Linked DNA regions of Rattus norvegicus. The protein of the gene in region 1 purifies or fractionates together with the protein of each later gene. This does not show direct contact. Links are inferred from orthologs where the notes say so. Each region holds a gene or a part of one and is shown in the gene's direction. Other genes may lie near its edges. The genes, in order: Cul4b, Hdac2, Trpc4ap, Cops7a, Ezh2, Cops5 and Det1.

The links.
Region 2: the proteins of Cul4b (region 1) and Hdac2 purify together in Homo sapiens (affinity purification with western blotting; 3 studies listed by BioGRID, with this or other methods). This does not show direct contact. The link is inferred for Rattus norvegicus from reciprocal best matches to the Homo sapiens genes CUL4B and HDAC2.
Region 3: the proteins of Cul4b (region 1) and Trpc4ap purify together in Homo sapiens (affinity purification with mass spectrometry; 4 studies listed by BioGRID and IntAct, counting the BioPlex papers as one, with this or other methods). This does not show direct contact. The link is inferred for Rattus norvegicus from reciprocal best matches to the Homo sapiens genes CUL4B and TRPC4AP.
Region 4: the proteins of Cul4b (region 1) and Cops7a purify together in Homo sapiens (affinity purification with mass spectrometry; 6 studies listed by BioGRID and IntAct, with this or other methods). This does not show direct contact. The link is inferred for Rattus norvegicus from reciprocal best matches to the Homo sapiens genes CUL4B and COPS7A.
Region 5: the proteins of Cul4b (region 1) and Ezh2 purify together in Homo sapiens (affinity purification with mass spectrometry; 4 studies listed by BioGRID and IntAct, with this or other methods). This does not show direct contact. The link is inferred for Rattus norvegicus from reciprocal best matches to the Homo sapiens genes CUL4B and EZH2.
Region 6: the proteins of Cul4b (region 1) and Cops5 purify together in Homo sapiens (affinity purification with mass spectrometry; 12 studies listed by BioGRID and IntAct, counting the BioPlex papers as one, with this or other methods). This does not show direct contact. The link is inferred for Rattus norvegicus from reciprocal best matches to the Homo sapiens genes CUL4B and COPS5.
Region 7: the proteins of Cul4b (region 1) and Det1 purify together in Homo sapiens (affinity purification with mass spectrometry; 3 studies listed by BioGRID and IntAct, counting the BioPlex papers as one, with this or other methods). This does not show direct contact. The link is inferred for Rattus norvegicus from reciprocal best matches to the Homo sapiens genes CUL4B and DET1.

What each region holds. Positions count from the first base shown.
Region 1 is NC_086039.1:122,161,300-122,164,799, reverse strand, and holds part of Cul4b (cullin-4B), read left to right. Parts: intron 1-703; coding exon 704-811; intron 812-1,798; coding exon 1,799-1,912; intron 1,913-2,721; coding exon 2,722-2,827; intron 2,828-3,500.
Region 2 is NC_086038.1:42,113,127-42,116,626, forward strand, and holds part of Hdac2 (histone deacetylase 2), read left to right. Parts: intron 1-627; coding exon 628-702; intron 703-1,702; coding exon 1,703-1,841; intron 1,842-3,500. UniProt on the Homo sapiens protein: Histone deacetylase that catalyzes the deacetylation of lysine residues on the N-terminal part of the core histones (H2A, H2B, H3 and H4).
Region 3 is NC_086021.1:164,650,324-164,654,413, reverse strand, and holds the start of Trpc4ap (short transient receptor potential channel 4-associated protein), read left to right. Parts: upstream 1-1,290; 5' UTR 1,291-1,329; coding exon 1,330-1,497; intron 1,498-4,090. UniProt on the Homo sapiens protein: Substrate-recognition component of a DCX (DDB1-CUL4-X-box) E3 ubiquitin-protein ligase complex required for cell cycle control.
Region 4 is NC_086022.1:159,457,374-159,461,585, reverse strand, and holds the start of Cops7a (COP9 signalosome complex subunit 7a), read left to right. Parts: upstream 1-1,412; 5' UTR 1,413-1,534; intron 1,535-1,555; exon of another isoform or gene 1,556-1,654; coding exon of another isoform or gene 1,655-1,668; intron 1,669-1,884; coding exon of another isoform or gene 1,885-1,927; coding exon 1,928-2,089; intron 2,090-2,443; exon of another isoform or gene 2,444-2,549; intron 2,550-4,212.
Region 5 is NC_086022.1:77,642,184-77,645,683, reverse strand, and holds part of Ezh2 (histone-lysine N-methyltransferase EZH2), read left to right. Parts: intron 1-523; coding exon 524-664; intron 665-2,417; coding exon 2,418-2,520; intron 2,521-3,020; coding exon 3,021-3,184; coding exon of another isoform or gene 3,185-3,199; intron 3,200-3,500. UniProt on the Homo sapiens protein: Polycomb group (PcG) protein. Catalytic subunit of the PRC2/EED-EZH2 complex, which methylates 'Lys-9' (H3K9me) and 'Lys-27' (H3K27me) of histone H3, leading to transcriptional repression of the affected target gene.
Region 6 is NC_086023.1:13,973,957-13,978,137, forward strand, and holds the start of Cops5 (COP9 signalosome complex subunit 5), read left to right. Parts: upstream 1-1,381; 5' UTR 1,382-1,489; coding exon 1,490-1,632; intron 1,633-4,181. Other genes in the region: Cspp1 (centrosome and spindle pole-associated protein 1), read right to left, coding at 961-1,166. UniProt on the Homo sapiens protein: Probable protease subunit of the COP9 signalosome complex (CSN), a complex involved in various cellular and developmental processes.
Region 7 is NC_086019.1:142,168,834-142,172,333, reverse strand, and holds part of Det1 (DET1 homolog), read left to right. Parts: coding exon 1-1,034; intron 1,035-3,500. UniProt on the Homo sapiens protein: Component of the E3 ubiquitin ligase DCX DET1-COP1 complex, which is required for ubiquitination and subsequent degradation of target proteins. The complex is involved in JUN ubiquitination and degradation.

The sequences.
Region 1 (3,500 bases):
AGTTTGTGTAACTGCGGCCTCAACTGCTTAGGATGCTGAAATAATATTTGGGCAATATAGTGAGATCCTGTCTCAAACAGCAGCAGCAATACCAACTAGGCAATAGTGATGGCAAATTAGATTTTACTCAAGGGTTCAGTAATGACTTCTTGACTACTATATTGAAGGTGGTAAATAGAACCAAAAGACTCGACGTTCAGACTTAGTAGGATCATAGATCTTACAGTAGGCACAGAATAGGATTTATTTGCCTTGCCCTTTCCCCTTTTCCTTTCCTACTTCAGGTCACCACCTTCAAACAGGGAGTGAAGCATTTTGAAAAACCAGAGACTTGGGCTGGCTAGTGGGGTGAGGAATGGGAGTTGCTACAAGATGTTCCGATCCATGTAGGGTCTCTGAAGGTGGGGATTAAAGGTAGCATTGGGGGAAAAGAATGGAGACGAGATGCTATAACAGCCCAATTGTGTGTGAGAAGTTGAGTTTTTAATACCTAGGATATTTTCGTGGGGTTTTTGAATGCCACTATCAAAATGGCCACCTGTGTATTTTTCTACTGCATTTTGTGTAGTATTCATTTCAAGTTTAAATAATTGTTTTTATTTTCAGGATGGTCAGTATCTACATATATTTTTATATAAAGGAAATTTGTATTATGTATGGTATATAAACTTTCATAATCTTGGTGTATGTGTTGATCTTACAGTATATGCAGAACCAGAATGTACCTGGCAATATTGAATTAACTGTTAATATCCTGACAATGGGTTATTGGCCAACATATGTGCCTATGGAAGTCCATTTGCCACCAGAGGTAAGATAAACCATTTTAAAACTAAGCTATATGCATAGAAATTACATTTTTTTCTGCTTTTCATTTGAAAATCTGTGACTTTTAAAGGTTTATGTCAACAAATATAGCAACAAAGTATGAGCGCTAATATTTTATTCTTTACTTCATTTTTTAACTACATTTCTAAATTTAGTGCTGTTTTCCCCAATTATTCTGTTTCATTGCTTATGACCCCTTAGTCTTGCCAGCTGTTAAAAAATCTTGCCCATATATTCCACCTGAAGGCAGGATTGGTGGATGTAATGGATACATGAGTATCCCTTCATGCCTTGGGAACTGTCCTACTCAGGACCAAAACCTAGAATATTGAATAAAGAAAAGTACTAAGCGTCTATGGAAAGAATCATGGGTGCCCAGAAAGTAGATTTCCCTCAATAAGGGAAGAATATGGTGAAGAGGAAGAGAAAGGGCAAAGCTTCAACTTTAGAAAAGGCTCACATTTAGCAGATGGTAAAAAGAGGAACCTGTAAAGAAATGTGGGCAGAAGCAGCAGTAAGAGAAAGGAGTCAGTATAGTGTAGAAACCCAAATCACCAGAGTGAAGGGATGATTAAATAACAGGGCAGAAAAGATCAATGAGTGTGAAGATCACCAAGCGATGTTGCATTGGCTAGTTAGATTTTCACCGTACATTAAAGGGATTGGTAACTACTGAATATAGTCCTGAAAACTATCAAAAGCTATTCCAGATGATGTTAAAGTATTGAGAAGGGAGGTCATTGAGGTGGCCTAGGGGTGAAGGACCTGCCACCAAGCTTAACCTCCTAGTTAACTTCCTGAACCCACATAGTGGAAAGAGGTAACTGACTCCCAAAAATTGTCCTCTGACCTTTATTAGCCCAGAATGGCATGCACACACCACTTCATACATTCAACAAATAGTTTTTAAAAAACCGTGCTAAGGGTGGCATTGCATATGCAACATAAAGTAACAATTCATTTGCTTTAGATGGTGAAGCTTCAGGAAATTTTCAAGACATTTTACTTAGGCAAGCACAGTGGCAGGAAACTTCAATGGCAATCAACCTTGGGACACTGTGTGCTAAAAGCTGAATTTAAAGAGGTAAGTGGATATTTTTAAATCTTGAGTTCTGTCTTCATCTTTAATATGGCTTATCCCTTGGTTTGCAGGGTCAAGCTGCTGTTTTATAAGTGTATCCTTGACTCTGCTTAGCATATTGCAACTTTGTATTTAAGATGGTTACCTTTTCAGCAGTTGACTTAGCCCTCATCTAAAATTGACCCCCCCTTTCTCTTTTCCCTGTGGATTCAGAGTTCATACTGTCTTATCAGAAATCATGTGGCTAGAAGCTAGAGAACCGAGTGAGTGATATAGGTAAACAATATCCATTGGGAAAAATCTGCATCTGTTCATGAATGATCTGAATCAAGTCAAAGTATATTTGAAAGTGGAGCATAGTAACATGGGACTGTAATCCTACCACTTGGGAGATAGAGGCAGGAAGATTGGAGTTCAAGTACATATTTGTCTACAAAGGAAGTCTAGCTTGGGTTTCTAAACCCTGTCTTGAAAAATGCATTTAGGGTAGTAATTTCTTGCTGCTTATGGTGAATGTCTATAATGACACATAGGGCTGACTTATTTTCATTACTTTGTCCTGTTTTAATAAGGACTATAGAAGACATACTAATAGGCTAACTAACCCTACACCCCGTTTTCTGTAGACTCACACCTAAATCTTGCAGTACACATCGTATTGCCATGTAAAGCAGCACTTTGGAGAATGTTACTCGTCTGTGCTTAACTCACTAATTAATGGTTTTCCTATAAGATACTACTTTTTGATTAATTTTTCATGTTTAAAAAAACAGGCAAAAAAAAAAAAAAAACCTCTGCTTTTTCTCCAACAGGGCAAAAAAGAACTTCAGGTCTCTCTTTTTCAAACCCTGGTGCTACTAATGTTTAATGAAGGAGAGGAGTTCAGTTTAGAGGAGATAAAGCAAGCCACTGGAATAGGTTTGTATTGTGTCTGTCCAGTATCAAGAAATTGTAGTTCTCTATTCTGTGTAGTCACTGTGATTAGAGCTCTAAACATATAAGGAAATAATCTTCCCCTCTGTACATTTTTTAAAAAGATTCATTTATTTCTTTTGTTTGTTGCCTGTGTATATATGTATACCATACAATGTGCAGGAATATGTGGGGTAAAGAAGGGGGCATTGTATCCCCTGGAACTTGAGTTAGTTGTTTGTGAGTCATCTTGTTAGGTTCTAGGAATGACCTCTGGTCCTGTGAAAGACAAGACACTACTCTTCAGTGGTGAGATGTCTCTCCAGCCCCCTCCTCTGTGCTCTTAATATTTCCAAATTAGTAAGTACCAGTATGTAGTGTTAACAAGAAGTGTGGTTGAGAGTGAAGTGAAGCGAATAATGATTGTGGAAGGAAGTAGGACTTGATTTGGGCCTTAAAATTTTGATTGGAGAGAAGGCATATGAAATAAAGGAAATAGTATGAGGAAAGACTTGAAAATGGGAGGGGCTAGTGTGGGTAGCAAGCATGAAATGTTTGGTTGTAGCTTTCACTGGTGAGCTGTAAAATTCAATAGGTAAGATCGATTGACTGACATAAAAGAAATAACCTATTTGGACAACTTACTTGGCATTGATAGAACTAGCCACCTGGAATATGA
Region 2 (3,500 bases), on another chromosome or scaffold:
CCATGCCTCTTACCACAGGAAGTCAACCGCGCCATGACGAGTGACGGGTCATCCGTCTTATGCGCCCTTCCTTTGTATCTTTGTTCCATGAAACTGATTAATTCATAGCCTCTTCTAAAGTTAGTTTCAGCCACAGAAAAAAACAAAGTAACTGTTAATGTTTTGATACTAAAATGCACTTCAGAGTCTGGGAGGGGCTGTGAGTGAGTTAGAAAGGAGTTGCAGCCTCTTCATCTTCAGTGTTTAACTAATTCACTGTCGCGTAAGAAGAAAACCAGATTCATGTCGATTTTTACTTTAATATGGACTTTTGTTAGTGGTGGTGGTGGTTGGGTACAGTTAATTCACAAATATTCACGTAAGATTAGGTAATGGTATTACATAGATAACAATTTAATTATCTTGAATAAAGTAAACATTATTTTGTAAAATTAGTTTTTTGGTATTACTCCCTGTGAATTTTAAAATTCATAGGTAATGTTTTAAAATTACAAATTTTATATTACTGTCATGGAATATTATATTACTGCCTATAATTGCCTGAAATGACTATTTTTAATAGTTTATAAGAAAAAGCCTTCAATGGCTTGATAATAGGTTGGCCTTAATGGACTTCACCTTCCACAGTTAATGTCGGAGAAGACTGTCCAGTGTTCGATGGACTCTTTGAGTTTTGTCAGCTCTCCACCGGTGGCTCAGTTGGTGAGTATCCCGAGTCAGTGACTTGACGAGGATCTGAAGGGTTACGGTGTCTGTAGTTTCTGTCTAAAGCAGCAGGTCGTAATGGTAGTGAGCTTTGCTTGCTTGATTCTGCTGTCACTAGGCTGTCACCCAGGTGGCCTCAGACTCCCCATCCTCTGGCCACCTCCCCAGTGCTTGCTTACGGACATGTGCTGTCACTGCACCTTAGTGGGGATGAGTTTGTTGTTTCGCTTTGTTCTGTGTTTGAAACAGTGTCACCCAGGAGCCCAGGCTGGCTTGCAGCTTACTGTGGAGTCCAGGCTGGCCTTGGTACTGTGGAAGTCCTCTTCCTTAGCCTCACTGATTGAGATTAGAGGCATAGATGGTTATGATACTGCGATTCACTCTTCTGTTAATGTAGCAAAACCTGAGACAACTTTTAAAAGAGTGGTTTATTTTGGTTTGGGGGCTTAAATGGCCCTGTCCTTTGGGACCGTGATAGCACATTATGGTATGTGCATGGGGCTGGGGGTACCCCATGGCTGTTGAGTAGAGAAAAGAGCATTCCAGAATCTCTTCTAAGCAAGATCAGACCTCCAGTGAACTAAAGTCCGGCCTCAGCCCTTAGTCCATCACTCTCTGATGGCACACGGGTGACTTGTTCCGTGGGGTTCTTAGGCATTTCAGGTTCAAAGTAGCAAGTATAATCATCTTTAAAATGTCAAATGTTTAACAGTCAATACTCAAACAGTTTTTAAGTTGTGTTTTTTTTTCCTCCAGAGACTTTTTTCCTTCTTTTTTTCTTCTGCCATTTTTAACCACGATTTTCTATGTGTACTGCAATTTAGTTGGGTAAACTGTAGGAAAATAGTTATCTGAGGAAAGTTTAAGCTCCTAAATTATAATCCTTTGCTTTTGAATGTCAAACCTTTTCTGCTTCAGATGGCATATTTAATGAGGCTTCGCTTACAGGTAAACTTTAAATACGCTGTAGATACCGTAACGTGTATCTCTTTCTTAGCTGGGGCCGTGAAGCTGAACCGTCAACAGACTGACATGGCTGTCAACTGGGCGGGAGGACTGCACCACGCCAAGAAGTCAGAGGCCTCAGGATTCTGCTACGTTAATGACATTGTGCTTGCTGTCCTCGAGCTACTGAAGTACGCTAATGCAAACTCAGTTTCCCAAAACTGTCATCAGACCTTTAGAGAATAGGAAATAAATGTTAATGCATTAGTGGAGTCTCACAGGGCCCGTTGGGAGCCACCGCAGAAGTATGAGAGAGCGCCTGAGAGTTCCCCTAAATGGCCTCCGTGGATTTAGGCTTGCAGTAGTGTGAGCTAATAAAGATGGCTGCTAGGACTCCAGAAATGTGAACGCTAAAGTAACTTGAAGACAAAACTTTGAAACCTGTGTTATAGAAGTTTGTCTAGCCATTTAGTACCCTGGCTGACCCCAGATCCCTCATCCAGTATGGCTCCGTCCGCTATACAGACACAGATACACGTGAATACATGGACACAGTGATGCCCAGTTGCTGAAGGGGTGTTGGAAGTTACCCTTAGGAGTGTGGACACTCAGAGTGAGATTACTGCCCCTGGGCGCTGTCATAGGAGTGAGTTGTAGTTTATAGCTTTGGCTGCGTTTTGTGTTCTGTAGGCTTTGACAATGACGCTCTTGCTCCACTTGTACATTCCAGCAGTGACCTTAGTGACCATAAACAAACACCCAAACCAACAACCAACAGATCCCTGAAGTCACCATTATTCACTTATTCCACTGGCGTAACTCTGAGCAATTTGTTGCCTTTTTTTTTTTTTTTTTTTTTTTTTTTTTTTTTTTTTTTTTTTTTTTAAGCTTAGTCCTGAGCAAGCTTAATTCTGTATGTTTCTTTACCTGGTAAAATTGAACATAATTAAATTGGGTTTGTTAAATAGCTTTCTTTGCTCATCCAAACACATTGGCCACTTTGATCATATTTGATTTTTAACTTTATGAAGAGATTCTGCTATGATAAAGCCCACTTTTTGCAGTTTTTTAGTTTTCTTGGTGTTGCTTTTCTGTGCCTTGAGAGCATAAATGCCTGGGTTGATAATGCCAGCTTACACTGTATGAGCACAGCCACGGCATCTTTTGATAATAAATAAAACATTTTAAGTCAGCTGCAGTGACACCTTAAACAGTAAATTCAAATTTTATATGTGTTGCTGTTTTCCCAGCATGTGTGTCAATGCACCACATTTGTGCTGTGCCCATGGAGGCCAGAGGAGACCACGAGATCCCCAGGCGCTGGTGTGATGGGACGGTTGTGAGTCACCATGTGGGTGCTGGGAATTTAACCTGGATTCTCTAGGAGAGTATCAGTGCTCTTAACTTAAGGCCAGCTTTCTAACACCAGTGGCTTTGGTTTTTAATGCATAGTTTTTTTTTCTGTTGGCACTTTGACATAGGTATGGAACTAATGTCATGTCATCCTATGGTGGCGTGATTCCAGAAGTTCATTTGGGTTGTTGCTGTGATTGGTGGCGTACAGATCATTAGGGAATGATGAGGCCACTTGTGATCTGTCACAGTCATAAGGTCTTAAGTATAGGGCAAAGGATACTATAGATGATGTGCAAATAGGTAAATGTGCTCATCCAGCTGTAAAAGGTGTTTATGGATATGGAAATTTGACTGTCACAGACCTGTCATATTATAAAATAGTCTTAGTTTGATTTTATTCTTGAATCATCGGAAATTGGGGAGTAGGGGTGGCACACACTTGGGCAGTGGGGGTAGCATACACCTTGGAGTGGGGGTGACAACACACCTGGGGA
Region 3 (4,090 bases), on another chromosome or scaffold:
GGGTTCAGGGGACCCAACAACTTAGGTCTCCGACAGTCTTGGCAGCCGGTGCCTCTACGCACTGACTTAGCTCTCCAGATCCTATTTTATTTGCTTTAAACTAGGCAACCTGGCAGTGATCTGCTGGAGGTGGGAGGGAGCCACACCTTGTAAGTGAGCATGAAGATGACAACCGCAGTCTAGTTGGCCTTGGCAGTGCTCATAAACTGTTGTTCCGCTGCAATTACTACATCATTCCACTCTTTAAAGACTTCTGGTTTGGGCAACAAATTGTATCCACCTTAGTTACAAGTAGCAAACTTCAAGGCATCCTAATTTGACACACTCAACTCTTCTCATTCTGTTACAAGATTACCTCCTAGAAGAGAAAGTGGAGAGAGAGAGAGAGAGAGAGAGAGAGAGAGAGAGAGAGAGAGAGAGAGTCTGCACAACCCTGCTACAGAGGTTTGTCCAAGCATGTGAATTCAGTTCTACTTGTGGGGAAAATTAGGGCAATGTTCTACTTCATAGGGGATCAGTTTGCCAATCCTGTCTCCTTGCGTTATTCCATTGAACATCATGGCTGTCATTGAACGACATAGACAATTGCTTTTATTTGTGTGGATTTGCTGTGGTCCCCTGAAATCCTCATTCCCTAACAGGGTCCTCTGCGTTTCTACTTGTCACCTCACCCTCCACCTCACCTGTCTATTCAGTGTGAGGAGTACAGCTGGTGCCTTTAGAAACTATTGACATCTGTAAATGAAAAATTTTTTTTGCCATTTTCTTCGAATAAGCCATAGCACATTGATGGTCCTTTATGTATCATTTACATAAAACATATTTGTTAATTCTAATAAAATATTAGTTGACTGATCCGGCTCCCAGGGCCTAAATATTGAATGGACTAAGGGCTAGGGGTAAAGTGCAGTGACTTGGCTAAAGTCAGTTGTAAACGGAAGAGGACATCTGTCAAGTGTCAACTCTGGCCTAGGGCCTAGAATCCTTCCCTGGCCACTGGGCTGCATCATTTCCCACTAGACGAAAAATTTGAGACCTTGTGCACGCAGCGACTGACCGGTCATCCACTTGGAGCAACCTCGTAGAAATGCTGGAAGTGGGACGTGGGAGAAAAATAAGTGGGTGGTCCAGGAAGAGCAGCATCTCCGCTACCTGCCCACCCTCCGCAAAGACTACAATTCCCATAAGGCCTTGGGGCACGTACAGCCCTTGCCACGCGGCTTGCACCTCCGCGTCAGTCCACTGGGGGCGATATAGAGTCCTCCGCCGCCCCGTAGAAATCGACGCGGCTTCGGGACCGCTTGCTTCCTGTTTGTCGGACGAGGAGACATGGCGGCAGCGCCCGCAGCGGCTGGAGCTGGGGCCAGCCGGGGGAGGCGGTCGGCCGCTACCGCGGCGGCGTGGGGCGGCTGGGGAGGTCGGCCGCGACCGGGTAACATCCTGCTGCAGCTGCGGCAGGGCCAGCTCACCGGCCGAGGCCTGGTCCGAGCGGTGCAGGTACGAGGCCGGCCCGGAGGGGCGGGGCGGGGCGGGCCAGGCTGGAGCTGGCCAGGGGCCGGGGAAGAGGCCTTTCCAGGCCGCTGCGGGACCGGCCAGATCCCCCTTGGCTGGCCGCGGCGCTGTCCTGTGTGCCGTCCGGACGCTGTCAGCCACGGTGGGACGAGGGGCAGCGGCCAGCTCGGAGGCCTGCGGGTCTGGGCCGAGTGGGATCGGACTGCCTGGGGTATTGATGGCGCGTATAATAAGCCCTGGGCCGAGTTTCTAGATCCTCATTTCCCTGCGCCACGTCTGCGTGTCTGGAGGACCTTGGCGAGTTGGCTTCATCTTCTACTGGTCTCGTGTTTGCCCCTTGTAAGCAGGTCGGGGTCCTCTTCACTGCAGCACCCCCGCCCCCCCAAACGGTTCCCAAGCCTATCATAAATGTCATCTTCTCAGAGGCCTCAACGTTCCTCCTCCTTTTCTAAAGTAGGCCCCCGTTGTTATTCTATCAGATCACCCAATTCCTTTTCTGTTGCACTATTTTCTTAGCCTGTAATTGCATATTTCTTTGTTGTCTGCCCTTTTCACGCCTTTCTCCCACATTAGGCTGAACTCCAACGGGTGCAGAAGACTGTTTTACTAACGTAGGGATACATGCTTTGGGGGAAGAACTTTAGTTCAAAGCCCTGTTCTCTTTCTTGCTTCGACAAGTTACCTTTTCAGGGCCGTAGTTTCCTTCTCTGATTCACCCTTTAAGGTTATTGTTAAATTCAGAGGAGATAGTCGTGTCAAGTGTTAGGGTATTTCAGGTGCATGTAAGGGCTGAAGGGTCATCAGTTATTGCTATATTTAATGCCTAGCTCATCTTTACACCAATTGATGTCCTATACATGTGGTGTTGGGGTGTATGTATGTCTGTTGAGGGGTATAGGACACAACCTTAGAATAAAGCAGGATAGATGACTTCTTTCACTTTTTCTTCGTTCTCCCAGGTGGACCCAGAAAACATTAGCTTAATTTCAAGATAGCTTTGTATATCGTTTTGAGGGATATATAAAGGACCAAACAGTATTGATGGGAGAGGGACAGGAATTAGGTGAGCAGATGAGGGAATAGGTATGAGATTTTTCTTAACATACCACTACATATTTAAAGTTAATTTCGATCCGTTTGACTATTACCCAATGAACTGAAGAGATAAAGGTGAGATGGTCTGTATTTGTGTAGGGTCACAGATGAAGAGGCACTTTGGGGTAGCCATATTTTTCTATAGAAACTGTAGATGAGCAGTCTTTTCTTCATTGTATTCCTCTGCATCTGCCTTAGAAGATGTGAGAAATACTTACTCTGTCCTTGAAGCCAAAATACCTCACTGAGTCGAGTAGTATGTCAGGACAGGCAGAAAGGGGACTCACTATCCTTTAAAGATTAGTCAGTGTGCAGGGTGTTGGCTTTTTTTGAAATTGAGTTTACTTTTGAGACAGGCTCTCACTATGTAGGTATATGACTGGCCTTGATTAGATGAGGCTGGCCTTGAACTTGTGACAGTCGTTCTGCCTCTGCCCTCTTAGTGCAGGGATTACAGGTATTCTACCACACCCAGCAATCTTCAATAGTCTGAGCTATATGTTGAATCCATCTCTTAACACAGACGAGGAAACCGAGGCTTACCAAGGTTAGGCAGTGATTCCTAACTTCCCTGCAGATGATCACTAAGAGCTGTGAGCCATGGAAGTTCTTTAACATGCTGAGTGAGGCAACTTTGGAGAACGATTTGCCTCCAGTGCTGGAATGCTAGGGAACTGGATTAGAAGGTTACTAAAATATTCTTGGAGCCTTTGGCTGTTCATCGTGGCCCCCATTATTACTCTGTAAATCCCTAAAGTTTGCTTACCTTCTTAGTCTGTGATTGCATATTTCTTTGGTAGTTTTGTAAAGGTGTGAGAGCTATTTCAGAGATTGGATTAGAACTCCTGTCTCCCAAATTCTAGTGATAACGAAGTGGAGACCTTCACATCTCATGGTTGTCTTTCTCAGCAGAGTTCTTCAGTGTTTTTTTTTTTATTCTCTCTCTCTCCCGATACGCAGAATAAATTATTTGCTCACCCATATTTTCATAGCACAGTACGCATATTGGTTATGGCATATGGCAGACAGGAAAGTGCCAAGTTTTTAAAAAACTTTGGAGGGGGCGGTGGAGTTGGGAAGAAAACAAATTTATTAGGTGCACTGTGAGGGGCAGCAGGCTGGGCAGTAACAAGAGCACCACCTACCTAAGGACATCTTTTAAATAAAAAATACATATAACAGCTGATCATCACAACTGTTTGAAACTATAGGATCAGTAGTGTTTACTAGTCTCATACTGATGCATACCAGGTCTCTAGAACTTTCTCAGTTTATAAACCTGAAACCGTATCTATCCACTGAGCAACTCTTCAGGCCCCTCCCCAGATACCCACCCTTCTCCTTTGTCTTGCTGTAAGTACGACTAATGCCCTGAAGGTTTATCTGAGTAATACCATATGGTAGACTTTCCTTGGGAAAGACTGGATTTTGCAGTAAAATGGGCCTGAATTGAATCCTAGTTCCAGCCTTTTTAGCCAGTGCC
Region 4 (4,212 bases), on another chromosome or scaffold:
GTCTTGAACTTTCAATTCCCCTGCCTTAGTCTACTGAGTAATGGGATTACAGATTATGAAACAGTAAGTCTGGCTTTACCTTAATTTGCCCCTTAAATGGTTTCTGTAAGTATTTTTGTTTTGTTTCATTTTGAGACATGGTCTCACTAAGTAGTTCTGGCTATACCATAATTCCCTATGCATAAGATGCTGGATGATTTAACTCAGAAATCCACCCAATTAAAGGTGTGTACCACCATGCAATTTAAAGTATTCTAAGACAGGGTCTCTCACACTGTAGCACAGGCTACCCTCCCAACTAATAGCAATCCTCCTGCCTCAGTCTCCTGGCTGTTGGGATTACAAATAACCAGCTGAATCCTTTAACTTTTAAATTTCCTCACCTGCCTAGGTTCTACTTACACTTTTCTCCTGTTGAGATTCAAGTATTAAAACCAGAACGATTAGGTGTAGTAATCCTTCTGGTTTTAATCGGCCAAAAGTCTGGTCACGTGGTCTGAAATTCCAACGGAAGAAAACCTCAAAAGCCTGACCAATACACTTCCCTTTCCCCTTAATCATTTGGGGGTTTGTTTTGTTTTTTCCAGACCGGTTCTCAAGTAGCCCAGACTGGCTTGGTATTTGCTATGTATTTTTTGCTTCGTTTTTTTTTTTTTTTTTTTTTTTGATTCTTTTTTTTCCGGAGCTGGGAACTGAACCCAGGCCCTTGCGCTTCCTAGGCAAGCGCTCTACCACTGAGCTAAATCCCCAACCCCCTGGGGCTGGTTTTGAACTCCCGATCCTACCTCTATTTCCAAAACACAGGGAAGCGGTGTGGGTCACCACTCCCTGCCCCCTTGCATTTTAAACTTTTATTCTGCTCTTTAAAAAACATGAGTGGTTGAACTACCTAAATTATCTACCGTTGAATTCTAGCCACGTTTGTCTACTTTTTATTCTGCTCTTTGAAAAACATGAGTGGTTGAACTACCTAAATTATCTACCGTTGAAACTCTAGCCATGTTTGTCTCCTATTTTTAGTTTCTGCATCTTCTCGTCTTCCACTAACGCTCATGCGGCCGGAGGAACTTGGCGCTGCCCTCCTCCCCTCTCCTGCAGCTACCGGGCGGTTCATCTACCCAGGACCTCCACGGAGCCAGGATTTTCTCTACACCCGGCATCCACCGCTCCCGCACCAATAAAGCTTTATCGACAGAGCGGAAGCTAGGTGTCGCTCTCTCACCTCCTTCGGTCGGGAAACGGAAGCAGGCCATAGCCGGCCGGAACCCGCCTCTCGAGAGCGGAAGTGCGGCCGGAAACTGGCCATAGAAGCGCGTGGCTAGAGCGACCCTGCGGGGAGGTGGCAGGAAAGGCTGGGAGCCGCTGCCGGAGGTGACGGAGCGGCCGCCCCGCCCCGCGCGCTGGAAGACGAGGCTTCCAGGTAGCGGTCGGTCGCAGTCTGTCCCAGGGTACGACCCGGCCTTGGGCACAGATTCGCGGACCCGGGGCTGCCTCTTTAAGGGAGGGGGTGGAGCCACGAGTGAGGATCGAAAAGGTGAGGTCACGTGGTTGAGGACACGTGCAAGACACGAGTTTAGAGCTGGGAGTTCGTCGTCGTTGGGGTAGACACCATGTGCCACCTCTTCCCTCCCTTCCTCATCTGTCCTGGAACTCAATGGGATGCACGTGGTGGGGCTTGGGACTGCCCCGATGGAGGAGAGGGTGGGCGTGGCAGCCAGGATGTGGCCGACTTTAAGGAACCCTAGAGTTGGCTTTTAGACTTCTTGACCTAATTGCACACTGCAGAAGTGACGTGGTACCTCTTGAGTGCAGTTCCCCACCCTTGAGCTGACCACCCTCACGTGGTTCAGGGACCTTTAGTTTTACGTTCCTCTTTCCTTGCAGCTCCAGAAAACTTGAGGCCAGAGCCCCGCACCAGGGTGCAGCCATGAGTGCGGAGGTGAAGGTGACAGGGCAGAACCAGGAGCAATTTCTGCTCCTTGCCAAGTCGGCTAAGGGGGCAGCACTGGCCACACTCATCCACCAGGTGCTGGAGGCCCCTGGTGTCTACGTGTTTGGGGAACTGCTGGATATGCCTAATGTTAGAGAGGTGTGTTGCTTGCCTGGGTAATTCAAAAAGAACCTCGGGACCAAAGTTTCCTTGAGAATGGTGGGCTCATTTTGTAACCAATAGCCACTCAGGTGAACAGGGTATTGATAATTAGATGTCAGCTTGGAAAAGTAAGCAGTCAAAAAAAGGTCTTCATTTCCTGTATCTCTTACAGAAAAGGGGTCTGTAAACTTACTGCTCCCTTCCTCTGTACCCACAATTTCAGTCAGGGTTTCACTGCGTAGTCCTGGCTGCACTAAACTGGTAATCGTCATCTGGGCTGGCCTTGAATGCTTGAGAATCTTCTTGACTATGCCTCATGCAGAAGTTAAAAAAAAAATTTTTTTTTTATTTAAAAATGTGGAACGCTTTATAAATTTGAGGTCATCTTTGCCCAGGGACCATGCTAATCTTCTCTGGATCGTTCTAGTTTTAGTATATGTGCTGCTGAAGGAAACACAGATTTTAAATTTTTAAACAAAAGAACATGTCATACACAATACCACTCATAAATGCCAGCTCGTCCACCAGTATGATATCTTTACTGTTGTTATTGATGTTGTTGTTTTTCGAGACAGGGTTTCTCTGTGTACTATAACTTGTGTTCTGGAACTCTCTGTGTGTTCAACTCAGAGATCCACCTCCGGAGTGCTGGGATTGAAGATTTGTGCCTATTGATACCTCTTAATAATCCTGTCACCATCATTTGGGAGGTAGAAACAGGTGGATCTCTGAGTTAGAGGCCAGCTTGGTCTACAGACTTGAGTTCCAGGACAGCCCCTGTTACACAGAGAAACCGTGTCTTAAAAACAAAACAACAAATCTTGTCACCTGGATCAGAAAAACCTAATTAAGTCTCAGTTTTCCCTTAAAAAATGGTGATGAGAACCTTGAAACAGCTGATAGAGTGGTTGCCTAGCATTTGTGAGGCCTTGGCTTCCATTTCAGAACTTGGGATGCTAAGGTAGGGCACCACAAATTTTAGACCAGCCTCTGCAACTTAGACCCCATCTCAAAAAAGGAGTAGGGATGTACTCAGTGAAAGAGCCCTTGTTTGTCGTATGCATGGCTCAGTATAGGTACAGTTCTCACAACTCCAATGAGGGAAAAACCGAAAAAAACACTACCTGGGCTGGAGAGATGGCTCAGCGGTTAAGAGCACTGACTGCTCTTCCAGAGGTCCTGAGTTCAATTTCCATCAACCACAAGGTGGCTCACAACCATCTGTAATGGGGTCTGATGCCCTCTTCTGGTGTGTCTGAAGACAGCTACAGTGTATACATATACATAAAGTAAATGATAATAAGAAAAAAAGCACTTCCCTTCACAGTTACAGTAGTAACTGTGGGAAAGTCTGGAGTCTCCTAAAATCAGAGAGAATGGGCATTTGAGTTATGCCATGGTAAATCCCACCCCCACCCCTACCCCACCCCCAGGTAGATGGTGAAGATGCTGTCTTCCCTAAGACAGTGGCAAACTGCTATGAACACAGTGACGAGAACATTCAGGGAAATGGCTGAGTCAAGAACGTTAAAAGTGGGGTTGGGAATTTAGCTCAGTGGTAGAGCGCTTGCCTAGGAAGCGCAAGGCCCTGGGTTCGGTCCCCAGCTCCGGAAAAAAAAAAAAAAAGAAAAAAAAAAAGAAAAAAAGAACGTTAAAAGTATAGAGCAGATGGATGGCCAATCCTGGGACACCAGCCTGTCATGAGAGTGACAGTAGTGTGTGGCTAGACTGAGCCAGGCATTAGAAGACCCGTGGTGGAATCAGAGGATAGAATGTTTTTTGGGACTGCTGTTTCACAAGAAACTGGCTTTTGTCCCTGATTTTCTCTACAGTGAACTAAAGTATGTCCTTAAGATGAGGTAGAAGGAGCATTTCCAGCTTGTGTTCCAGTGAAAGAGATCGGATAAATGGATAAAACAATACAAGTCAGCAATTTATCAGTAACTTACTTCGAAGGCCACAGCTCTGGGTCCTTGGAGGCTAGCAGATGCTGGGTCTATAGCCTTGTTAAAACATTGTTGGGGCTGGGGATTTAGCTCAGTGGTAGAGCGCTTACCTAGGAAGCGCAAGGCCCTGGGTTCGGTCCCCAGCTCCGAAAAAAAGAACCAAAAAAAAAAAAA
Region 5 (3,500 bases), on another chromosome or scaffold:
CCTCCCTGTTCAACAATGCCCTTCCTCAGGGCAGCCAGAGCCTGTGAAATTAAGTTATCAGAATCTTGGATTCAGGTTTCTGTGTACAGGAGGCTCTTTTGATATCTGAGCAAAGGGAGCTGTGGTCATATTATAGTGGAAAACAGGTTTGAAGTGGTCAGTCAGTGACACAGATTGGGAGGAGGTTAAAGCCACAGGTCCTCAATGATTAAGGGAGTAATGTGCCCTGGACCAGCTGGAGAGGGGTGATTTCTGAGAAAGCAACGGATACTGAAGGAAAATGCTGTTTTCTTTGCTGGCTGTGAAATTGATTTTGACTGTCCTTACCTGCCCCTCCGGTTACAGTGCTGATAGGCCTTCGCTATTCTTCCAGATTAGAAAATGCATACAAAAAAAAAAAAAAAAAAAAAAAAAAAGAAAGAAAGAAAGAAAGAGAAAGAAAGAGAGAAAGAAAAGAAAAAGAAAATGCATACAAAGACTTTTGTCATTATCCTTTTCCCTGTTTCTGACATTTGGATTTTAGAATGTGGATTTATAAATGATGAAATTTTTGTGGAGTTGGTAAATGCTCTTGGTCAATATAATGATGATGACGATGATGATGATGGAGACGATCCTGATGAAAGAGAAGAAAAACAGAAAGATCTAGACGATAGTCGAGATGGTATGTTTAATACTAGTTTTTTGTTTGAGCCTTATATAATTCTTCTTTTAAAATAAAAGTACCAGGCTGGTAAGATCAGGTCGGTAAAGGTGCTTGGTGAATCGAGATTCCTGGAACCCACTCTGTGGAAGAGAAGAACTGACTCTCCTAAGTTGCCCCTGATCTTCACACCAGTACACTGTGGCAGACATACAACCATATGATATATGTAAATAAATGTAAAAACCACCCATTTTGGGGTAGAATGTAACTCTCCCCTTTTTGTTAAGTGTTCTATCTTAGCAGTATGATCAAATGTATTCTCTGCAGCATTTCATTCTCTATAGAGCTTCTTCGTTTCCTGTGCCTAGCAAAAGGACATGTGTTTTTGGACTTTGCTGATCAGTTATCATAATTATCTTTATAATAATAATAATGATTTATGGCATATTAACAGCTTTATTATATATTAGAAATGGCTTTAGAGAAGCTGAAGACTATGGGACTTAGTTAAGATTGCAATATTGGGAAAAAGTTGAATCTGAGCCCCAAATTGATAACATAAGTCTGACTCGAGAATTGTGCTATTGCCTCTACACTTGTTAAGTGTTCCTAGAAAACAGTCTACCCCAAAGTAGAGCCCATAATTCTGTCTTCTACTTAGCAAGCTTACTATCAAGCAGAATTAGGAGAAAATTGCAATTTCAAAAGACATGTATTCTTTATAACAGAAACACACCGGAGTCAGTAAGTGATTGCTAAGTTCTTCCATGTGATGGACAGTTCTGAAGGTGGATTAATGATCAGCTCTGACAGAAAACTATTAGTGTCAAATAATCAAAATTTGGGGGAATCTGTCTTCTTGTACTCTTAGCATCTTGACAAGCTTTTCCATAAGAAATAACTGATAGAGGGTTTGGTGATGCCTGTAATCTCAGCACCTGTAATCTGAGCGAAGGCAGGAGAGTCTGAAGTTCAAGGTTATCCCTGGCTTTGTAATGAGTTTTATGCTATCTTGGGCTAAACTAGGCAAACCTGTCTTACAAAATAGGACAAAACCCCCAAGCCAGTGATAGTGAGTCATCCTTGTCATTCTCGAACTTGGGAGTCAGAGACAATAGAATAGAAAAGTTGGCTATCGAGGTGAATCAGTGGGTAAGAGTGCTTGCTGAGCAAGTCTTTTTCTTTCTTTAAGAATTATTTATTTATTTTATGTATGTGAGTACACTGTAGCAGTCTTCAAACACATCAAAAGAGGGCATCAGTTCCCATTACAGATGGTTGTGAGCCACCATGTGGTTGCTGGGAGTTGAACTCGGGACCTCTAGAAAAGCAGTCAGTGCTTTTAATCTCTGAGCCATCTCTCCAGCCCCCAAGCAAGTCTTGATGACCTGATTTGAATTTCTTAATTTCACCATAGGAGAGCACTGACCCACAAAAGTTCTTCCCTGACCCTCACATGTGCACAATGGTGTGCACACCCATGTGTCTTCACTCAGGGAGGTGCACATAAGCATACATACATGCACACCTTAAAAAATAATAAAGTAATTATTAAAGCTTCGAAGTCAACCTGGTCTACTTAGTTGCAGGCCAACTAAGGAAGGCTACACAGTAAGAGATCTTGTCTTACTCCCTCCTCTCCAACCTCCACAAAAGTGAACCAAAGTTGACAAGTTGTTAGAACATCAGCTTTGTTGAGACACAGTGATAGAGAGAAAATGAAGCTGAAACTTGTTTCTTCCATCTCCCCCTATCACAATTCACTGTTTAGATAAAGAAACTTGCCCACCTCGGAAATTTCCTGCTGATAAAATATTTGAAGCCATTTCCTCAATGTTTCCAGATAAGGGCACAGCAGAAGAACTGAAAGAAAAGTGAGTAGGAATTTTTCTTTTTTTTTAATTTGGGGCAGTTGTGCATGTTATCATCTCTTGATTTATTATTTCAAGCATTCTCTCTCTCTGTCTCTCACACACATACACACACACACACACATACTTTACTGTGTATTAGAAAATTTTTAGTTCATATTGAGTACATATATGAGTATTCATGCATATTCTATGCCTATGTACAGTTTATACTAATATATTGAGGAAACCTTTTCTGGACGCTGGTAGAGATTTATAGTTAATCCAAACTAATGTAATAACCTCTTCTGCTACATACCTCAGTTGTATTAATGAGCTTGATTCTTATTTCCCATGCATAATACACGATTGGTTCTTAATGCAAGTAAAGATTACTGTAGGTTAGATTTTTTTTGTGGTTGACTTTTAGATAATATAAACTTAAAAAAAAAATCAAACCCATGAAAACCTTTTAGAAACTCACTGTGCAAAAAAGTGATGTTTGTTTGTTTGTCTGGTGTCAGGTATAAAGAACTCACGGAGCAGCAGCTCCCCGGTGCTCTACCTCCTGAATGTACCCCAAACATCGATGGACCAAATGCCAAATCTGTTCAGAGGGAGCAAAGTTTACATTCATTTCATACGCTCTTTTGTCGACGATGTTTTAAGTATGACTGCTTCCTACATCGTAAGTGCAATTATTGTACGTTTTCATTTTCTATCTTTGTTGTTGAAATATGTAGTAAAGCAACTTGATGTCAGTTGTCACAACCAAAATATACCGACCAGTCTTATAGTGAAGGCTGAGAAATATGTCACACCCCGTACTGTGACTGTTTTCTTCTTTGAGGATTCCTCTGACATCTTTTGTACTCATTTCATTCCATTCACTGCTTCCCAGTAACTTGAAGTGAAGGTCTTCACACTTGACAAGGCTGTTTTATAATGAATGATTGTAGTGAGGCAGTTCTCAGCTCAGAGCAATATTACTGCCATTTATGAAC
Region 6 (4,181 bases), on another chromosome or scaffold:
AAACCAACAGTAGTGGTGAATAGTTAGCAATTCTTTTTTAGCTAATTTGTCTGCTAAAAACCTGCATTAGAAGAGGATACAGCCCGGCAAGGGTGGTACATGCCTTTAATCCCAGCACTCAAGAGGCAGAAGCAGGCAGATCTCTCGAGGCCAGCCTGGTCTACATATCGAGTTCCTGAACAGCAAAAGACCTTCCATGGCCGGGGGAGAGGGGGTGAGAAAAAAAAAAAAAAAAAGGATACAACACAAAGCTTACTGGGAAAAAGCAAAACGTCCGTGTGAAGCAACTATAGAGCCTTCGAGATCCTGTGGAAGGAGCAGTTATTGTCAAAGAGTTAATGGAAGGCATCTCGACTGTGCTTTTTAAATACTGTGTGCTCTAAAGCAGAAATGTCAAGAAGTGCATTTAAAGCAATGCTTAACAACTACTGCATTACTAAATCAAGGAAAAAGTTCTAATTAAAAAGCTGGGTCAGGGTGGCTAAAAGATGATGAAGCTGGAGAAGTCTGTAAGAACCGTGTTACGAAAATAATTAAATATATTAGAATTAAATAAAACAAACAGATTTTATGCACGCCTTCAACTTACACTCTAGTGGGCATTTGGGGATGAGAATGAGAGGGAAGAAAACCTAAAAACACGACTGAAACAAATTTCATATTAACTACCGGAAAGAACGGATTGCGGAGATTAATTCTGCACTGAGACAAACCTTTTTTAACAAGTAGCGGGTAAGGCATTCACATCTCCTAACACTTGTATAAATGTTACCCTATAAACGCGTCAAAAGTTAATCTTAGCAACCGGTGAGTTTTGCTTGCCACCTCGCAACAGTAGCGAAAACACAAAAGCGAAACGCCACCCACAAACCCCGGAGGGGTTTATACTCCGCGAATTATCTTAAAAGACAATGTCACATAATCTTCCCCCTCCAAAACCAATAATCCGGAGATACTTACACCTCTGTTTCTCTAGAGACATTTAGTATTCCAAACAATTTATTTCGTTTGAAGCACCTACACTCACATAAACATAGTTCCCCAAACCGAAGTTCCCTCCCACACGCAATATGGCGGAATCTGAGTCTGCGCAGTGCGAGGCGAGACGGCCGACTCCTTCCTGGCAGGTCAACAGGCCCGCCTTCCGGCGCGAAAGGCCGTACCATTCCCACACAGAGACTTTGCGTCCCTCCCAGTTCACACGTACGGATTTCAGAGCCAGCATGTCCTCGTTTCGTTCGCAAAACTATTATTAGCCGAGCCGAGCGGACCCCTAGGAAGTGTTTTCTATGTCGCTACGCCGCCGCCGCGCCCCGACGCGCGAATGGTCTGGACCAACGTCACCTCCGGTCTCAAGTGTCATGGCTGCCTTGAGAGTCTAGTGAGTGTGCACCCGTGGTGGGGAAGGTGCAAAGCCCGCACGCTGAGGCCCAGTAGAATAAAGTTGCATCTTGGTTGTGGAGACTACAGCTTCTCCGGTCCCTCGGCCATGACAGCTTCCGGGAGTGGTATGGCCCAGAAGACCTGGGAATTGGCCAACAACATGCAGGAAGCGCAGAGTATCGATGAAATCTACAAATATGACAAAAAACAACAACAAGAAATCCTGGCGGCGAAACCCTGGACTAAGGAGTGAGGAGGTCCCTGGCGAGACGCAGGGGAGGGAAGGGATGGAGGGACTGTGAGAGAGACCCTCGAGGGGTGGAAAATGAAGTGGGTGGAGAATTTGGCTTTCTGAGGGGCGTCGACAGAATACTGGCCGCCGTGGTTTTATTCTACCTTATCAGTAGAGACTTCGATTCCCCTTATTTCTAGGGCCTGCTTCGATACCCCTTTTAGAAAGTTTCTTACCTCCAGGGGGTGTAAAGGGATGACTTAGGGTGCTACTTTCTCAAAATGATTATTTTCGTAAATTTCACACATTCTCCCCTGAACCTGGTGGCTGGCTACATGCAGTTGGTTGCAGCCTTCAGTGGATCTCAAACTGAAGAGCGTGACTGTTTTCAGAAATCGAATGAGCAGGGCATTGATCTAAAAAACAAAAATGAGCCCTTGGGGTGATTTCTTTTTTATCACTCTTTTCCTCTGTAACTTTTTTAAAGACATACCAAATCCTCTTACCAGTTCTCTAAAATACTACTGCAACAATTCAGGATTTATAAAATAGAGCTTAGAGGCTATTTGCCCCCCAGCCAAATCCATGTATCTTTGGGGCCCACGACAAGTCAAAAGATTCTTTAGAGCAAATCATGTTAAGGAGAGTGAAGAAAAACATTGCAAAAGGTTGCTATGTAAACTGCCTTGCTGTTTCCAGGTGTTTTGTTTTGTTGGCAAAGCTGGTTTTAGCTGTCAGGATTCTATTTTCAGGGTTTTTTGAGTTACTACTGTGGGCCTGGCACTGGTCTGATGATTTTTATGTCATTTAATAATCAGGGCAATCCAGTACTGTACTTTCTTTCCCTTTCTGTAAATAGGAAAATAAGCAAATACATTCATGATTATACTATAGCAGTGAACTTAGGTGCAGTAGACTGAGAATCAAGTCTCATAACTGTCACTTAAACGGTTGACTGGCATTAGAAAAGTAAAGTATCTAAACTTATCTATAAGATAATGGTTAAACATAGCTATTACGAATATCATGAATTTATTAAAAAGATAATTTATTAAAAAGTTCTGGAAGAACCATATATAATAAGAGCATAGTAGTGGTTTGTTTTTCTCTTTTTCCCAAGTAGGTGGAGGAGCCAATTTTTAAATTTATGTCTTGATTTCCAAGATGATCTCAGCCACTTTCAGCTTGTGGTTGAAATCTAGCAAAAGCTGGGATCTGTACTTGGTTGCTTGCATCCAACAAGCCGTGGTGACACTGAGTGACCTGTGCAGATTTCTTGGCTGTCCCTTAAGCAAGCTGCACGTTTTAGATGGATGTAAACTCTTGACTTCCTCACCATCTGTGGCTATACTTAAGTTTATTCTAACATGCAGGATACAGCCGTGATTTTAAAATGTTCAAGAGTTTAATCATGTACAATAGTTAGTCACAGAAGTAAGGATACTAGCTCTACTCTAATTCCCAAGATGCTATCAGAAGGAAGCCATAAGCTAACAAGCTGTTTCTTTGAGAATATCTTAAAAAGCGGGTTAATAGTTCGATCCCCAGCTCCGAAAAAAAGAACCAAAAAAAAAAAAAAAAGCGGGTTAATAAGACTGGTAGCAGTACCTTAGATTTTAGTGTTTCTGGGACTAAGCTAAGCATTTACGGTGTACTTTTCATACTAATAGATGAAATATCTATTTATAGATATGTGATCTGGCATAGACATTAAGTGGCCCTACTCTCTCAGTTAGGGGGTGTCAGTGTAATTTAGAGACCTAAGCAAGTCAGTTTCAGAAGCCACATTTGTAGAAACTAAGTCCTCTGGCTCAGTGGGTAAGAGTACTTAGTTTTGCATGCAGACCTAAGGTTTAAATCCAGCATCTATGTAAAAATCCATGTGTGAATATGCTACCTTTTAGCATTATATGGAAAGAAAGCAGAGAGGACGGTCTGTGAGCTAGTCAGCCAGCCTAGCCACAACAGTAAGCTTTCAGTAAGAGACTCTGTCTCGAGGGAATGAAGTAATAACAGACGAAAATGAGCTGGGCATGTTGACACCTGAATTTAATCACAGCAGAGGTGGGTGATCAAGTTCCAAGGACAGCCTGGTCTACTGAACAGCCAGGGTTATACCAAAAACCTGGTCTCAACGAAACCAAAAAAAAAAGGTAGTGAAAGACCCCTGACAGCCTCTGTCATCTCCACAGGTGGCACACTAATAAACATGTACCACAGATAATAAATAAATAAATTATTTAATTAATAACTCAGTAAATTAAGGTCAGAAAGTTAGGCCTAAGAAGGTAACCAGGTATAATAATTCCATGTTGATTGAGGAAAAAGACCTGTGGAGTTGATCATTATTCCCTCATTTCAATAGTATATTTAAAATTTATTTCAGACTCTTTATGTCTGAGCCAAAGACACATGACATGGTATTTCCAGGCACCTTGTACTTACTGCTTTCTTTTTCCTCCACGTTCCACACTCCCTTTCAATCCCTATAAATCCCTTCAGAATGTATTTATTCTCACAGAAACTGTTCTGAAATTGCACGTTAAGTAAGGCTCTCGGTCACAGT
Region 7 (3,500 bases), on another chromosome or scaffold:
ACGTCATCCACCGCTTAGAGCGCCGGCGCATCAGTTCAGGCAGGGCAGGGACCCACTGGCATCAGGTCCGAGTCTTCCACCAGAATGTCTTCCCCAACTTCACGGTTGTCAACGTTGAAAAGCCTCCTTGTTTCTTGCGTAAATTCTCGCCTGACGGGCGCTACTTTATTGCTTTTTCGTCTGACCAGACATCTCTTGAAATCTACGAGTACCAGGGCTGTCAGGCAGCAGAGGACCTCTTGCAGGGATATGAAGGGGAGATCTTGTCCAATGGTAATGACCAGAGGTCGGTCAGCATCCGAGGCCGGCTCTTTGAACGTTTTTTTGTCCTGCTGCACATTACCAATGTAGCGGCCAATGGCGAGCACTTGAACCGGGAGTGTAGCCTCTTCACGGACGACTGCCGCTGTGTCATCGTGGGCTCCGCTGCCTACCTTCCAGACGAACCTCACCCTCCTTTCTATGAGGTCTATCGGAACAGTGAGTCGGTGACCCCTAACCCACGGTCCCCTCTCGAAGACTATTCCCTCCACATCATCGACCTTCACACTGGCCGTTTGTGTGACACACGCACATTCAAGTGTGACAAGGTGGTCCTGTCACACAATCAAGGGCTGTACCTATACAAGAACATCCTGGCCATATTGTCTGTGCAGCAGCAGACCATTCATGTCTTCCAGGTGACTCCTGAAGGCACGTTTATTGACGTTCGGACCATTGGCCGCTTCTGCTACGAGGATGACCTGCTCACTGTGTCTGCCGTTTTCCCCGAGGTGCAGCGGGACAGCCAGACAGGCATGGCCAACCCTTTCAGGGACCCTTTCATCAACTCCTTGAAGCACCGGTTGCTGGTTTACCTCTGGCGCAGGGCAGAGCAAGACGGTAGCGCCATGGCGAAGAGACGTTTCTTCCAGTACTTTGACCAGCTGCGGCAGCTGCGCATGTGGAAGATGCAGCTTCTGGATGAGAACCACCTGTTCATCAAGTACACCAGCGAGGACGTAGTGACGCTGCGGGTCACAGACCCATCTCAGGTACGGGATGAGGTCTCCTGCCTGTGCCCCGTGTGTATCAGAAATGGTGCCGGTTTTTGCTATGCTTGGGTTCAGATTTAAAGTCAGTTCCTTTTTGTCTGGCATCACATATTGAAATTGGCCAATGGAGGAGGGTCAGCGTCAAGCCACTGCCATGTGGTTATGATCTCAGTCATTCCTCAGGACATTCTCAGTACCTGTCATACAGGAGCCCAAATGCTGTAAGGCCGGGGTTTGGACCACACATTTATAATCCTTCCTAAACTTTGTAAGACTGATTATTGAACCAAAAAGGTTCTGGCAGCAAGAATGAGCCCTCCATGCAAAAATGGAAGTCCTCAGGGACGGGTGGTAGAGAGCTTATTCAGGATATGAGGCTCAGAGTCCCTGGCACTGAGGACTCTAGGTATGATGGTAGGCATACTTCCATAATGCCGACAATCCCAGCAGTGGGACTGGAGGCAAAGAGAGCTTGGATTTGAGGGCAGTGAGTTCCAGACCTGACTGTGTTATGAGACCTTGACTTAAAAAGTTAAAGGAGGATAAGTGGTGACAAGAGGGACAGACAGACAGACCCGAGCTGAGTTCAGATACCTTCTGGGAATCTTTGAAAGCTCTGCACTAAGTGTGGTCTGAGTAAGAGGCCCACCTTTCTGTACCTTGCTTGCCCCCAGTCAATCCTCCTGCTTTAGAAACAGCAGTGAGGCAGATAGTAATCTAGGAAGTCAGCTGACTCTGCCTTTAAGGGATTCTAGACAGTGTTGGGGGTTGACCGAGTGGTTTAGGCATCTTTCTTGCAAGCATGAGGGGAGTTTGGATTCCCAGAACCATTGTAAATGCCAGATGGGTGTGGTGGCCTTCTGTAATTCCAGAGTGCAGGAGAAGGAGACAATCCCAAGAGTGAGCTGACTCACCAGCAAGCCGTGGCTTCAGGGGAAAGACACTTACCTTAGTGACTTAATGACTGCGACAGACAGTGCTGGAAGACCATGTGCCAGCCAGGTTTGGCACATAAAGTACACACACAACATACACATACACACATGTACCACATATGCATAAGAAACATACATTACCAAACCTGTGGTAAAATATCTTCCAACAGCAACCCCCCCAAAAATAATCACAGCTTATGTATTCTAAAAAGGGGAAAGTGATCAGACTCGAGTATATATTTTTTTTTCTTTTTTTTTTTTTCGGAGCTGGGGACCGAACCCAAGGCCTTGCGCTTGCTAGGCAAGCGCTCTACCACTGAGCTAAATCCCCAACCCCTTTCAAGGAGTTTTTTTTTTTTTTTTTTTTTTCTTTTTTTCTCGAGTATATTTTTAAAAATCTCTTTCTTCCTTGTTAATGATGGGTGGTGTTGCTGAGCCACCACAGGTGAACATCTAGTTCATCTTCTGCGTCATGGAAGATAGGTGGTAGAGGCCTTGACTTCTCTCCCCTCCTGTCCTTAATTTCCCAGTCTGCCGTAGAGGGAAAGCTGGTAAATGTTTGTGAAATTTTATATTCGCATAATTATGAAAGATCCTGTTAAAACCCTGATATGATCAAAGTGGTGTCCTGGTCTATAGATGGGACATGAGTCACTCTTTTATTTAGGTTTCAGCTATAATTACCTTTCTATTTTGGAAGGAATAAGTTGTCTGTTATCACAGTGCTGAGATTATCCTTTTTTTTTCTTTTGCTAAAAGGTGACCTATTTTTTCCTGGTAGTTGCAGTCAGCTATAACTGGGCATGCTGCTGGAGTTGGAAACTCGAAACCAGTCTCCACGCTCCAGTTGTCCTCTTGTCTCCCCTTCCAGTTTCATTTGATAAGTTCCAATAAGGTTAATGAGTAAGAACTACATCCATAGACAAAGCCTCGGTAATATTATGGGTATTGTTCTCAGGTTGTCTCCAGCCACTTTAATTTGCAGCCAAATTTAATTTCCAGGTGACTGCAAAGTCATGTAAGAGGAGCTCTGGGGAGGACTAATTACTACGAGACAGGTGGGCCAAATGGCTGCAGAGATGGGTAACAGATTAAAACTCAATCAAAGGAAGGTGAAATGCGAATCCGTGAGTCCCGGACATCTTAGACTCCTGCTGGAAGCTTGCAGATTTAGTTCACACTGTAGTGTTCACTGTGACAAAAAAACCCTCAAGGTACCTAGAGCTTCCTTCCTGTTAGGCAAGGCAGAGCACTCAAGGTGTCAAGGAAAAGGCCCAGTCGCCCAGGGGTCCCTCCATTCAGGAAAAATGGTGACTGCCACCTATGGCATTTGAATGCTTTTCAGGTCCCTGCCCCCCCATCCTAATTGGCAGAAATCTCAAATGTACCTTACAAAAGCTCTTGGCTGAAAGAACATTTATGGAAAGGAAATGGGAATGTCTGTCTGACTTTTCATTTGTTCATCCGCAGTGCCCTGCGTGGATACAACTTGTCCAGGCGGTTTAGCACACAATGTGCTTAAGGCGTCTCT